2 linked regions of the Diceros bicornis minor genome follow. The protein of the gene in region 2 interacts with the protein of the main gene of each other region in a pairwise test. Links are inferred from orthologs where the notes say so. Each region holds a gene or a part of one and is shown on either strand. Other genes may lie near its edges.

What was found. The genes of interacting proteins can lie anywhere in the genome.
Region 1: the proteins of WAC (region 2) and DYDC1 interact in binary tests that used the Homo sapiens proteins (3 or more experiments, as listed by UniProt). The two-hybrid records come from large-scale screens. The link is inferred for Diceros bicornis minor from reciprocal best matches to the Homo sapiens genes WAC and DYDC1.

The regions. Positions count from the first base shown.
Region 1 is NC_080745.1:5,133,748-5,141,582, forward strand, and holds the start of DYDC1 (DPY30 domain-containing protein 1), read right to left. Parts: upstream 3,062-7,835; 5' UTR 2,930-3,061; coding exon 2,783-2,929; intron 2,336-2,782; coding exon 2,234-2,335; intron 1-2,233. UniProt on the Homo sapiens protein: Functions as part of axonemal radial spoke complexes that play an important part in the motility of sperm and cilia. Plays a crucial role during acrosome biogenesis.
Region 2 is NC_080775.1:27,439,670-27,447,048, forward strand, and holds the start of WAC (WW domain-containing adapter protein with coiled-coil), read left to right. Parts: upstream 1-4,406; 5' UTR 4,407-4,436; coding exon of another isoform or gene 4,437-4,443; 5' UTR 4,444-4,445; coding exon 4,446-4,486; intron 4,487-4,844; coding exon 4,845-4,880; coding exon of another isoform or gene 4,881-4,881; intron 4,882-6,431; coding exon 6,432-6,646; intron 6,647-7,379. Other genes in the region: uncharacterized protein LOC131398901, read right to left, coding at 2,847-3,048, 3,818-4,406, 4,437-4,443.

The sequences.
Region 1 (7,835 bases), on a different chromosome or scaffold from region 2:
CAATTCCTTTCTTCACACATGAGTAAAACCATTTGAAAGGTACACAAACAAATACAAAACAAAAAAGCTTTTACTTCAAAAATAAGCACAGGGGCCTGCCCAGTGGCACAAGCGGTTAGGTGCGCGCACTCCGCTTCGGCGGCCCAGGGGTCGCTGGTTTGGATCCCGGGCGCGCACCAGCGCACTGCTTGTCAAGCCATGCTGTGGCAGCGTCCCATGTAAAGTGGAAGAGGATGGGCATGGATGTTGGCCCAGAGCCGGTCTTCCTCAGCAAAAAGAGGAGGATTGGCAGATGTTAGCTCAGGGCCGCTCTTCCTCACAAAAAAAAAAAATAAATAAGCTCTTAAGTAGAAAACAGCAATAAAAATACTTGCCTGTTCACAAGGACCAGGGCTTGCTAAAGAGTGCCTAAAATGTCAAGGAACTTCAAGTCAGCAGTACTGACTACAAGGACACCTGCTCTTGCAACCAACAGGGAGGCGGCCAGAGTCCTGAACCTCCAGCCCACTTGACCCCAGGGGCGTGGAGAGGCCTCTCTGCTCCTCTTCATCTCAGCCTTGCTCTCTCCTAAGCTCTTCTCTCTTGGTCCATCTCTCCACATGTCCCTTCTCCTTCTCTCATCTATTTCTGCCCACCAATCCACTTCTTTACTGGCCAAATCTTTTGCAGAATATTATTGTATCTTCCACTCCCAATACAATGCTTAGGGTTCGATGCACAGTGGATTGCTTCATATGGTCAACATGATACAGTTAGAGAAATGTGTGATTTCCAGTACTGTCAAATTTTATCTAAGTAAGTTAAAGTAGAAGGGTGAAAGAAAGTTAAGTATCTCCACCTTTGTGATGTAATTGTCTTGGGGAAGGAGAACTGATAGACGGGGGACACACACCAGCTACAGGAGCTGCAAGAGGAAGGGCAGCTCCTCACTCAAAGTTGGGACCACTGCAGCACACACTTGCCCACTTAGATGACTGACATCCAACTCCACACTTTGCAACTTCCCACAAGAAGAAGCCAAATGACTGAACAATGAAGACTCAGAAGCAGTCAAGTTTTCAACAGCCACATCCACCTAAGGTGCCTAATAGGCTTCTTTCCCTTTTTAACTATGTAGACTTGAGTCGAGACTCTAGAGTTAAGTACATGGTAGAACTAGAGGGGTGACTTACATTTAGTTCAGAAGCTCTCCATAAATTAGATTAGTGCAGAAGCCACTCTGGAACTTTCCTCTATCTAGTTTATACTCCATGACCTAGCCCTTCAACCACTCTTACCAACACATTCAGCTCCCCAGTCCTGCTACCCTAAACCTACTTCAGTCAAGGGTCTGCCTCTTCCACATCTTCACGCAGATATCTAGGCCTAAGTGGAGAAAAATCACATCATCACAAAGCCAAACCAAATGGCAACATTTTAAATGCTTGGTCTCCAACCATATCAGGGTACTCATTGCTACCAAGTAATGCTAAGGTTCCCTGGCCAACTCTCTCTGTCATGCTCCAAAGCTACCACTTCATACCTTCACCACTCTCCCCACACCTCCTACACTACCACCTCATTCTTGGAAGGTGATCATGGTCCTTACTTCATAAAGAACAGTCACACAGAAAACTGCTTTCAACTTTGTGCCACAAAACCTATAACCCACATGTACCTACACCATCCTCTCCTCTTTCCTTGAATCAAGAAATTCCCTTCTACCTGCCTAACCTATGTTCCAGACTCAATGTAGCTTTGCCTCCATGGACAGCTGACTCTAGAAATCATCCCCTCTATTTCTTAACATCAACTCCCTCTCCACTTCCACTCTGTTCCTAAAAAAAAAAAAAAAAAAAAAAAACTTCTTCCCTAAAAATCTCCTTGAAAGCATTATCTATACTCACCATCTCCCCTGCTGTACGCCCCCCACCCACACTGGCCAAGGTCACCAGTGGCCTTGAATGGGTACTGTGCAGTCCTGCTCTCACTCAACCAGCAATAGACATGGTTCACCACCAAGGTCTCACTGAGACGCTCTCTCCCCTTGGCTTCCACGAGGGCACACTCCTTGGTTTCCTCCTACCTCACTGCTGCTGCTTTTCCAGCAAAGAAGACATACATAGAGATGAAGATATAAGAAAGCCATACACTAAATAACCAGAGATGGGGAGTTTTTCAGCACTTGGGTTACACCAAACAGAGGTTGACACTGTTAATTCCAGTCACCTCTGAACTCTGTTACTTGTCTCACCTGCTGAAACATGAGCTCCTCTGCTCTGAGCCTCTCCATCATTTCCTGCTCCCTCAGAGCTAGTTCTCTTTCACGCTCCAAGTCGGCCATTTCCTTTTGTCTCTAGCATTGTTTAGAAACAATATCACGTGACTAATTCGAGACAAAATAATTTTGAAAGCATTTTAATTATCAACAATAGGGAAAGGGATAAGTAAATTATAGTCTATCCATTTGGAAATTGTATAATAATTTGGGGAAATGCATGTTTTATTCAAATAAAGAGCACAAAATTAAAATTATACATTGAATATGATCACAACTATGTAAAAATATCTATAGACAGATGTGTAGAAAATAGAGTAGAAGAAAATACCTAAAAATCTAAATAGAGGTCTTCTTTCGGTATTGTTTCCTTCTTCTACTTTTTCATCTTGTCCAAGTTTTTGTATAATAAACATAGTATTTTTATAACAGAAAGAAATAACAATATTGACCTTTTTTAAAAAGCAGACAAACCGAACCAATTATTTTACTCTTCTAATTTTCTAAAAGAAGATCTATACTTACCAGTTGCTCCATGGCCACGTTTTCCTTATACTTGCAAATCCACAATGCTAAATATTCTATTGGATCCACAGGGCGAATTCTTGCCACTTCTGCAAGACCTTGAGTTAGACACGTCCCCACGTACTTCTGAAGATATATCGACTCCATTTCTAACTCCTAACTTTTAAAGATAAATGTTTGTGAATTAATGCAGAACATTTTCAATTAAGGCACAATAAAAGTAGAGTCCGGTGAGGCCAACAAAGCATTACATCCTGTCACCAGTCAGGGGCACCTCCAATCAGGGATGGTACAAGCACGACGGCCCCAGGAAACTTCTAACGGTTTCCAAAAAGGCTCCACAGAAGTCACTACAACTAAAACAGTTTCCAAATCCTGATGGGCCCTCAAGTCCAGGAGTCAAAAAAAGAATACTGTCATTATTGATTGCAAGATGACCATATGCCAAGCAATGCCTGTCTCAACAATGCCTCACAACACACCTGAAATATGGGTGTCATCATCCCTCTGTGCAGGTGAGGAAGCCCAGCACAAAGAGCACAGGTGAACAGTCCACGATCACACAGGTGGCACACGGTGGAGGCAGGATTCACATGCAACTCCTGATTCCAGAGTCATGAACTTAATGACTGTACTAAGATGCTCCACCCAAGTCAGGAGAGTCATTTTTAGAAAATGTCACAATAGTCCACCTCAAAAAAAAAAAAAAAAAGTCCTTGAATCTGCAAGGCCAAAGAACAAAAAAAATTCAACCTTCCAAGAACAGCACCTAAAGCCCCTCACACTCTGGCTCCAGTTTTCTGTCCAGGCTCAGCTCCAGGCATCTCTTCAGCCCCCAGCATATCCTGGGCTCTAATTACACGGAAAATCCTGAAAATTCTGCCATTCTGCTGACCACACCTCGCACATTTGCATCTCCACGACTTTTGCACATGATGATCCCTCACAATCTCTCAAGTTGGCAAATATCTCCTCACCTGCAAGATGTAGATCATCTCTCATTCCCTGAGCTTTCTCAGGCAACATAAAAAAGTTCCTCCTTCCCCAAGCAGCTCACACAGCCCTTGTCACACTACCTGAGCACCGTCTGTACGCACGTCTGTCCTCCCACTAGAAGACAAGCTCCTCTAGCCCCTCAAGGAGGGTTTTAATCACAAGGCTGACACAGCTGGCTCTTTATGGTGGCAAGTGAGAGAGTTCCTCCACTCTCCCAGTAATGTCCCAGTCTATTCAGTTATGAAGATGGACAAGAATAATCTTAGACCAGACTTTTTTAAAAAAGAAATGTAGCAACCACTATATCTCAGGTTTAAAAAACTGATCACCCTCAAATTACCCTTATGGAATCCAGACTCCGATGAAATACAATCATTAACAAATATATAATGAGTACCTACTGTATGTCAGGCATGAGCAATTATTGGGGATACAATGCCAGTGTGTCCAGACCTGTCCCTGGACAAATGCACCTAACATTCTGCATAAAAGTTCAGAAACAATGACCTCCTGAGGTTCATCCATAGACCCCAATACTGCTCTCTCTCATACAATGGTGGTGAGAGTACAACATGACATAACTCCTTTGGAGGGAAATTTGACAATATCTAGAAAATTACATATGATTTACCCTTTGACCCATCAATCTCATTTCTGGGCTCCTATCTTGAAAAAATATGAAGTGATATATGCAAATGGTTATTTTGCACCATTGTTTAGAAAAACTAAAATGGAACCCCATCCCAATGTTCATCATTAGGGGACTGATGAAATACAGCAACACAATGGATTATTGCACGGATATATAATAATGAGAATGAGGAGAATCTCTAACACAGGGGGTGATCTCTAGGATATAGTGTGAAGTGGAAAAAGCAAGGTGCAGAAACTGTACATAGGATGCCATCTTCCGTGATAGCAACAGCAGCGGGGAAAGCAATGTCTACGTGTGTACACATAAATGTAGTCATAAAAACTCTCAAAGCTGAACGCTGGCACAAATGAACCTAATTCCCTATCAAGCTAGCATTGGTGTCTCAATGACATAGAGAAAAGAATTATTACAACTGAGTTTGCAACACAGTTATCTTCACTGTACTTCTTCACTGGGATATGCTCTAAAGACAAAAATAACTACACTGACATCTCAGTGTCATTAGAAGCGGAGTAACGTAAAAAATGAATAGCCTCCTGCTGCTCCAGAAAGATAACACATAGCAAGGGGATAATACAGAGGAAAGGGGAACCTCTGGCCCAGGAGTAGGGCCCCATCCAGGGTCCGTCTCAGACGCTGCATCCCATTATCAGCGGGATCCCGGGGAGGCTCCTTATCTCACCTGGCATGTTTCCTGTCCATGAAATGGTAATAATACCCATCTCACAAGATTGTTGTAAGGAATGTTATCCGTCATACACACCAACAGGCATCTTGGCTCAACATCAGTAAGCCTCTTCTCACAGAAACAAGCCTGGAGAAGCTGTCACAAGAAAGAGACGTCCCTGGCCCATTCTTGGGAGAAAGCTGGCCAGCCGAGTGGGAAAGGAGAGGATCTGGGTAGGGTTGCCAGATTTAGCAAATAAAAATACACGACGCCCAGTTAAACTTGAATTTCAGATAAATAACGAATGATCTATATTATACTATACTTGTACTACAAAGTTATTCCTTACTTATCTGAAACTCAAATTTAACTGGGCGTCCCGTATTTTATCCGGCAACCCTCGATTCGGGACGCTCAGCTTCCTTTTCCCATCTCGGGTCCGCGGAAGGAGGTCCGGCCCTCCAGCAGGCGCTGCGCCGCTCGCCCCCGAGGAGGAGGAAGAGGAACCGCCGACGCGCCCGCGGAGCCTCCGGCGCTGAACTGACCGCGGCCGGCTCCGGAACGTCGCCCGAGCGCCACACCACTCACCAGGTCCAACGGCCAAACCGGCCTGCGCCGCCAGAGCCCGGCCGAGCGCTAGGAACCCTTCTTCCCAACCCGCGCCTGCGTTCAGGAGGCCACGCCCGACGCGCGCACGCGCCCTCCTCCCGCGAGCCGCGTCCCGTCGCTAGGCAACGAGCACGCGCACCTCGGGTGCCAGAGATGCCCCCAGAGAGGAGAGGGCGCGCGGGCGGGTGAGCGGAGGGCGCCGAGGAGGGAGCCGAGGAGAGAACGTGCCCCCAGAGAGGAGGGGGCACGTGGGTGGATGAGCGGAGGGGGCCGAGGGGAGAACGCGCCTCAGCGAGGAGGGGTCGCGACAGAGAGGAGGGAGCAAGAGGGTGGGTGAGCAGAGACATGCAGCCTAGAGGCTGTGAGGAGGGGGCAACGGAAAAGAGGAATTGATGGGATGGTTAGGCCAGTGCGCACTGGGAAGGATAAAGGGGCAGCTGGCTCTTGGGAGCAACGTCAAAGAGCTACAGTCGGTGAAGGGCGGGACACCCTCACAGCCAGGGGCGGAGGAGACTGCCCCGAGTGCCCGATGGCCCGGTATTTTCACTACTCAGCACCTTTGCACTTGCTGGCGACCTCTGCTTGGTTCCTTTTAGAACCAACTCAGGTGGGCCCCCCGCCCCCCCCCAGATAGTTGTATGTCATAGCTGCACATCCTTCTAGTTGCTGTATGTGGGACGTGGCCTCAGCATGGCCAGAGAAGTGGTGTGTTGTTGTACACCTGGGATCTGAACCCCAGACCGCCAGCAGCCGAGCTAGCGCGCTTAACCGCTAAGCCACGGGGGGGGGGGGGGGGGGGGGGGGGGGGGGGGGGGGCTCTCCCATGTTCTGTTTTAATTTATGTGCCGGGCATTGCGGGGCAGGAGAAGCCTAGCTAGACATTGGTTGAGGTGGTGAGTGCCAGAGTGGGCACAGACAGGCGGAAAGGAGCAGGAGCTCTTGCCTCTGCTCACGAGCGGCAGAGTCTCCTCTGATTACATCAGGAATATTTATGGATCACCTAGGTCTGCCTGGCACTTGGAATATGGTGTGGACAAAGACAATCACCGTGCTTATTGCCCTACTTACTGAGTGCGAGCCTGTGAACAAGGAGGACCAGTGTAAGCAGACCTTCAGAGGAGGTCTGGGAAACTCCAAAAAATAGCCCCTTCCCCTTGTGAATGTGCCCTGAGTTTGTGGGGAGTGGCTGTAAAAGGCATCCCTTTGCCCCCTCCCTCTCCAGGCCTCAGGTTGTGGCTCTGTTATTCTGGCTCTACTGTCTTTGCATCCTCTAAGTAATTGTTAGGTCAGCATATTTCATGGAGGCCATTGTTGGAAATATGCAATTTAGAGCAGATGCTTTTTCCAGGAAGGGTTTGTGACACCTACACAGTGTGGCAGCCGCCCAAGGACTGGGAGTGGAGCGGCTTCCTTGGAATGCAGAGTTGGGGATTGCACCCCCTGGGAAGGGCAGTTCTACAGTGACAGAGGCAAAGTGGATCTGTAACTGTGAATCCCCCCCCCCCGGGGGGGTGGATTTTATTAAAATGCAGACTCTGAATCTGTAGCTCTGTGGTGGGACCTGAGAATCTGTGTTTCAGCAAGCCCCTAGGTGATGCGGTGCTGCTGATCATGGACCACACTTTGAGTAAAAGGGGTGGAGAAGGTTATCTGGGCACACTGGTTCAGCTGGGCCACAGATTGGCAGAAGGAGACATCACGCACCCCCATCCCCATCCTCCACCATTATCCCAAATTTAGTGGCTTTAAACACACTTTTATTCTCTTACAATTTCTGAAGGCAGAAATCCAAAATGAGTCTTACAGGGCTAAAACTAAAATGTCAGCAGGGCTGGTTCCTTCTGGAGGCTCTCGGGAAGAATCCATTTCCTTCCCTTTTCCAGCTTCTAGAGGCCACCACACTCCTTGGCTCATGGCTCTGAACCACATCACCTTTTCTCCCTCTTCTTCTGTCATCACATCTCCCTCTTCTCTGTCTGACTTTACTGTGTCCCTCTTATAAAGACCCTTGTGATTGATTACATTGTTCCTACCTGGATAGTCCAGTATAATCTCCTCAAATGAAAATCCTTAATCACATCTGCAAAGTCCGTTGTGTTGTATAAATTAACATATTTCATGAGTTC
Region 2 (7,379 bases):
CTGGGGAAGTGGATGTGAGGTCTGAAAGAATCAAGGATGACTCCAAAGTTTGTAGCCTCAGCTGGAAGAATGCAGTTGCCATTTCATGAAATAGGGAAGATCTGATTGGGATTTGTTTGGGGGGAAAAATTAGAGTTTGGTTTTGGATACATTAAGTTTGTGAAGCCTGTTAGACAGTCAAGCAGTGCTATAGAGTAGGCAGTTCAGTGTTAAGTCCAGTATTTAGGGAAAAGGTGTGGGCTGAAGACTCAAATGTGGGTTTCACTTGGCTGGAGATCTGGATGGGACTGCCTAGGGAAAGAGAGTAGAGAGAGGAGAAGCAGTCCAAGTTGTGAGATTTGAATCCTGGGGCACTCCAGCATTTAGAGGGGGGAAACTGAGAAGGAACCAGCAAGGGGAGTAAGGAACAGCCATTTAGGAAGGAAGAGAAGCAAGAGTGAAATACAGAATGGAATCCTGGCAGGCAAGATAAGGAGCTTCAGGAAGGAGAGAGTAAGTCATCAGCTGTTTCAAATGCTGCTGACAGGTGAAGTGAGATGAAGACTGAGGGAAAAAAATGGATTTGAGAACATGGAGGCTAATGACGATTTTGAGCAATTTCAGTGGAATGTCAGGATCAAGTCTGATTTGTAGGTTCAAGAGAGTAGAAGTGGAGATGAAGTTTTTCTATACAGGAGAGCAGATCAGAGTAATGGGGCAGCATTTGGAGGGAGATACAAGTCAAGATTTTTTTTTTTTTGAAGATGGTAGCTATTAACACCTGTTTATGGGGCTGGCCCCATGGCTAAACTCAGCACGCTCCACTTCAGCAGCCCTGGTTCTGTTCCCAGGCACAGACCTACACTACTCGTCAGCAGTCACGCTGTGGCAGCAACCCACATACAAAACAGAGGAAGACTGGCACAGATGTTAGCCCAGGGTGAATCTACCTCAAGCAGAAACAGGAAGGTTGGCAACAGATGTTAGCTCAGGGTGAATCTTCCTCAGCAAAAATAAAAATATCAACACGTTTATAAGTTGACAAAAGTGATCCAGCTGAGAGGGGAAAAATTCATAAGGAAACTGGACAATTCCAAGAGTAAAATGGAACTCAATGCAAAAGGGGCAAGTTTGGTCTTAGATGGGAATTTTGACAGTTTATCTACAGTTACTGGTGTAGCAGGGTATTCAGATGCAGGAAGATTGGCAAGTGCCACAGTGAGAACTACTACTGATTTCTGTTTTCTTAGATAAGAAGCAAGATAATGATTTACTAGAGAGGAGTGGGATGTACAGTCAGGTTTAAAAGATGTTAAATAGTTGTTTAAGAAGGCGGGATAAACGGATTAGGGAAATTAGCCTGAGGGGGTCAGGAACACAAGGAGCTCACTTCAGAGTGCAGATGTGTTTTTCTCCAACCAAGTTCAATAGCTCTGCTGCAGGCATACAGTGAATTAACAAGGGTTCTGATTTAGGCACGTACAACAAAGGAAGAAGGAGGAACGCACTGAAGATACCTGCAGAGGAGGGTTTATAACAACAGATAATGCAGTCTAAGGTAGGCAATGAATCTTTAAAAAATGGGTATAGCATTCAGATGTGCCTTTTAGTAAATAGTCGATTCTCATTATTTGAGGTAGTTATGTTCTATAAAGTTACCATGAACCCTGAACTGCTCCTGGGGGAAATGCAGGGTTCAGTTCCCAAGAGACTCTGGTCACAACATTTTCATCAATACATAATGTGTTTCATGTGTTTCTGTTTAGACACCTTGTTTAATATATATTGTTGATTCATTAATACTGAACTCATTATGGCCAAGAGCACTAATGATAAGTCTGAAGGTAGCTTATCTAGGACAGTGTTTTCTCTGCAAGGCACATCACAGCCTTCTTGTGCTTAGGAATATCAGACAGCACTTCAGCACTATGCTTGGGGGCACTTAAAACAGCAAAACCACCAATAAATAGCACAAAAATGTGAGAAACATGATGATATGTATATTGTGAAAAGCACATCTGTCCACAGTATGAGAGCTGAAATAAGGCAGCAGAGTGTCCCCTTGCTTAACCTCAGCTGGACACATGCATGTCAGACAAGTTAAATTTTCTGTCACTCTGCGCATGTCCATGAACGCTGCACATACTGATTTTCAGGGTACAAATAAATTTTAGTAAGTAGGCGAATTCGCAAATATGGAATCTGTGAAGAATGAGGACTGAATGTACACTGCTTGGAACTGTTTCCTCCATAGCTAAGCCCAGTCTGCTGCTTTTAATCAAATAGTATACATCAATTTCAGTAGACGTCTGATTATCAAACAAAACAAATGTTGCTGTTAGTTGTCAAAAAGTTTCTACATTGATATATTATTTTCTATACTCTTCTAAGCTGGTGTCTCTTGTTTTCAATGTATTTGTTAGAAAAATGTTAGAAATTGCACATAAGACTCGAGGTTTTTTTTTTTCCCCTCATTTCACTCACTGGCAGTTTTTCCTGAGTTACCGACAGCTTACCGGCATGAAGTAGGCTTTTACTGGTCCTCACAAACCGCAATAATTTTAGTATTCAGCAGGCAGCTGTGACAAATAAGGGTATGTAATTCTTTCTTTCAAGCAGTTGTAACGTCAGGGTCTTTTTCCTCACATCATTCCATTTCTTCATTAGGCCCAACAACAAGATAACTTGTTGGATACCAAATAAATCAATTAGTTTTTGATATTGTCTTTTGGAGGGATCTTATTTGTGATGTTTCCTATTATACCTTTTTATTCTGTGTAAACAGTTGTATATTTATGTTTATTACAATCCTTTTAATTAAATTAATGTTGCCTTACAAGGAGTTTAGAGCAGAAAAAAAAAATTACCGGATTACTGCCACTCTCAAGTAAAGCTTCATTTTCTGGCAGACTTGACCTGTTCCCTCCCATTATGCCAGCGTTGCTACTGGGCCTGCAGCAGGACGGAAAATTCAATTTGCAGCCATTTCGTGGAGCACCCCCCATGCCTTTATTCACATGCAGAACTTCCAGAGGAATTTCACCAAAAGGCTCCAGCGAGGAAGAAGAACTAAAAGAGAGAAAAACGAGAAATAAAGGAGAGGGTGGGGAGGGCACGACTGGCGGTGGAAGATACTGAATGTGGAGGAGGCGATTGGTTCAGCATTTTCTCCCAGCAACCCATCCCCCTAAGGCCCCAGGCCCACCCGAGGTTCTACTTCACGGCCCGGAGCGGCGCCCTCCTCACTCTAGAATCTTCCCTCAGCGCGCAGACACCCGGCCTCCCTGCAGTCTCGAGACCCCCCCCCCCCCGTCGTCTCCCCTCCTCGGAAAGCTCGCTCTCCCGACGTTCCGGGGAGTGACTTACTGCCAACTGCCCTCGCCGGGCTCCGAGCAGCCCCCGCCCGCCGAAGGCCGGCCGCGCGCGCGGCGGCAGGGTGGGGGCAGGCGCCCAGGCCCCGGTTCCGGCTCCATGAGGGGCCCGGGGGAACGGTGGGCCCCCCGCCTCCCTGAAGCGGCTGCCGTCGCAGCAAACCGAGAGAGCTCCTTGACAGCCGTCCGCCCGCCGCTTGACCGGGGGCTGCCGACCACCCGGCCAGCGCCCGAAGGGGCGGGCACCCTTCCACCCCCGCGCCGCTGGGCGCACGCGCAGCAGCCGCCGCCTCCCTATTTAGTCCGCGATGGCTTCTCTCGCGCCCCACCGTCCTCCTCCTGAAGGCGGCTCCCTCCCCGCGCACCGCAGGGCCCCTGGGACCGGCCTCGAGCAGGTCCCCGAGCAGGACTATCCCTAAAAGGGAACGGCGCTGGCCGGACGTCGCGTGAGGAAAAGAAGCGGCAACCGGAAAGAGCTGACGGGTCGCGAGGAGGCGAAACAGGCCTCAGAGGAAGAGGAAGGCCGGGGCGAACCGAGGTTTGCCGAAGGCGGCGTTCCGGAGCTGCGCGGGGCGGGGAGAGAGGCAGAGGCTGGGAGAGGAGGGGCGCGGCGGAAACTGCCGAGGTTTGCCGAAGGCCGCAGCGGCCGAGTTGCCCGGATGTAGTTGGTGGAGCGGCAGCGGCGGCACCAGCAGCGGCGGTGGCGGCGGCGGCAGGAGGAGGAGGAGGAGAAGGACCAGGCAGCGGCGGCGGCGGGGGGAGGAGGGGAGGCGGCGGCGGAGCAGGAGGAGAAGGCGGAGGAGGCAGTCGCTCTCCGCGGGGCCGAGCCGGACGCGTCTTCTTGGCCCCCTCCCCCCGGTTCGCCGCTGCCGCCGTGTAGTTGGCGCCGCTGCCCGGGCTGAGTGTGAGCGTGGTGCGACCGCAGGGAGATGGCCCGGGAGCGCCGGCGCCAGTAACGGGGAGGTGCTGAGAGTCGCCGAGGGCGCGCCGGGCCCTGGTGCCGGTGCTGCCGCCCGCCCGCCCGCCGCCTGCGCGCCCGCCCGCCCCTCGCGGCCGCTCTCCGCCCCCCGACACACACTCACAGGCCGGGCATTGATGGTAATGTATGCGAGGAAACAGCAGAGACTCAGTGATGGGTAAATCGTCTTTTCCTTTCCGGCCGGGCCGCAGCGGGCGGGGGGCGGCGGCGGGGGGGCTGTTCCTCCTGAGCTGGTGCTGCCGCGCCGCCATTTTTGTTGTTAAGCCTGCTCGGGATCGGGCGGGGAGGAGGAGCCGCCGCGCGAGCGGGCGAGCACGGGCGGGTGCGGAGGGAGCGCGGGCCGGGGCGCGGGGCTTCGCCCTCTCGGGGCCGCCTGAGGCTGCGTGTGTGCGCGCGCGCGTGTGGGCTGGTCGCCGGTCCGCTCGGGAGGTCTCCCGCGGGGAGGGGCGGGGGGGGCGCGTTTTCTTCCTCTCCCCGAGATGTCTCATGTCGCTGCCTCTCTTCCTGTTTTTCAGCTGTCACGACCGGAGGGGGGACTCGCAGCCTTACCAGGTACCAGCCGAGCCCGGGGTGGGGGGTGGATGGGGGGACGGAGGGGGAAGGGAGGAACTGCTACTCGAGCGCAGGCTTCAGAAGTCGCTACAGGCCCTTCTGTGCAACAGATCCCAAACTAGCACCGCGGGGCCCCTGAAAATCGTGTGTTGGGTTCCCTGAGCGCTCTCCAGCGAGCGTTAGTGACTTGTTTTGACAGGTGACTGGAGGAAGTTCAGTTTTTTTAGAAAAAAATCATTCTCGGCCAGAAAAGACCTGACTTGATTATTTGGGCTTGAAGGAATCGGTGGGATGAGGTGCCTTCTGAACCATATTTATTTATTGTAGTGGGGAACTAAAAGTTAACGTAAAGATATTAAAATTAGAACTAAAAGTTAATGTAAAGGTATTAAGATTAAATGAAAGGTCTGGGAAGAAACAGCTAATTGATTCGCAACTCTTAAGTGTGTTGTAAACCCCTATCGCTTCCCGTTTTGTTTTTGGTGCAAATAATTGCCTGACTAGTGGAAGAGTGCTTTTGTTTCTGAAAGAATTGAGATCTTTGGATACTTAGACAACTCATTCTAATGTAGACAGTGCTAGGTATGTTGGTTCCTTTTTTTACAGCAGTTGCTGTGTGGAAAGTTTTTAAAAATTGTGTGGAAGTGGTCCTTTTTTTCAGGAGGAAAAACTTCATAAATGGTTGGTAACTATCAGATGACACCAGAAGTAAATACTTTCTACATCTGATCACTTAAAGGAAAGGAGAGTAGGTTTCTAAGCTGACAGTTTTGTTACTGGCTACCGTGAGTTGTTAAAGCTCAAGTTAAAAACCTTACGTCCCCTGATAACGTCAAAAACATTGTTTGTTACATTTGGATAGTCAAAAATTAAACGCTGTTGAATCTGCCCCTCTAGAACATAATTAATTATATGCTGTAAAAGACTGGTATATCATAGTTGTCTTAAATATGTTTTAGAATGAAACTAAAATCATTGTGAAGGGAGTTCCATTATGTTTTGTTAGAAATATCACACAACATTTTTATACCTTAAAATTGTATCCCACATCTGCAAGAGTTGGTTAGTTAGGTTTGAAGTGCTGTATTTGAATCAAAGAATTGGAGAGACTGATGCTTTTATTTTTTGTAGGTTTGCAGAAACATGCTTATGCTTACTTTTACTTGTAGTTGTAGAGCAGAGATAGCTTACAGTAGTACTGTTTGTACTTTTCTTTAAATTAAATTTTTTAGTTCCCAGAAAAATTTATTGAGGAATTAATGTACAGAGGTGTCTGATTTCTTGTATTTACGAGATACTTAATGGAGTGGATTTTTTTTCTTTTATTTTTTCTCTTTTACATAGGGTATTATGATTTGTGTGAGGAGTCTTATAGTAACTCTTAGGCATTTAAGACTTGTTTGACTAACTTAAAGGCAGAATTGAAAGTGGAAATTTTAATTTTATTGATATAAATTTATGAAACAATAAATTTAATAACATCAAATTTTATGATAAAATTAATTTAGGAAGTTAAGTTTAAAGTTTCAATTCTTTCTCTCTTCTTTTTGGGGGGGTGATGTTTTACAGGCACTTAAATATTCATCGAAGAGTCACCCCAGTAGCGGTGATCACAGACATGAAAAAATGCGAGACGCCGCAGATCCTTCACCACCAAATAAAATGTTGCGGAGATCTGATAGTCCTGAAAACAAATATAGTGACAGCACAGGTCACAGTAAGGCCAAAAATGTGCATATTCACAGAGTTAGAGAGAGGGATGGTGGTGAGTAGCTTTTTTGTTGAAACTTTCATGTATGTTTATTTTTCACAATAGCTCTATGTAAAACAATAGATAAACAAGGGGGTGGTAATATTTCCAGCTTGTGGACATTACCATATGGTTATGTCATCAAAATAATTTTATTTTTATCAACTTATTTGATTCCTAAGCAAGTTACTGTAGAAGTAAGGTGCTGACCTGAGGATCTGAAAATGGACTTCACTGGTTGATAATTAGAGAATGCATTGATGAATATAGTCTACCAAATTCTTTATTAAGGAGAGAAATGTACAGGACATTTTTCCAAGAAAGGAGCTTTAATCTTTTCAAATAAAGGTTTCAGTTTATTTGGCTTAGTTTATTTTGAGATCCTTGTTGCTACTTGAATTTATTTTTTAAGGAGTTCAAGTGTGTTTCCTAAGGATAAATTATGCAGTTAAAAACTTAGTATGAAAAAAAAACTTAGTATGTTTTTTGAGACAGTTCACAGGTTTAAAAAAAAAATTTGTGATTCAGAAAATTCCTTTTCGGTTTTTGTTGTAAACGTTTAAAATATTCTGTATTCTCCAGGGTCTTGTGAATAACCTAACTTCTATACCATGTTCATTGAAGTATTGAACTTTTTAAAAGTTAGCCTTTTGTGCAGTGCTGTGACTCTTCAGTTACCTTGCCTCAAGCTCTTTGTGGTACGAGGCTGAGAAAAAGTAAATAAAAATAAACTCAAAACTATTTTTAA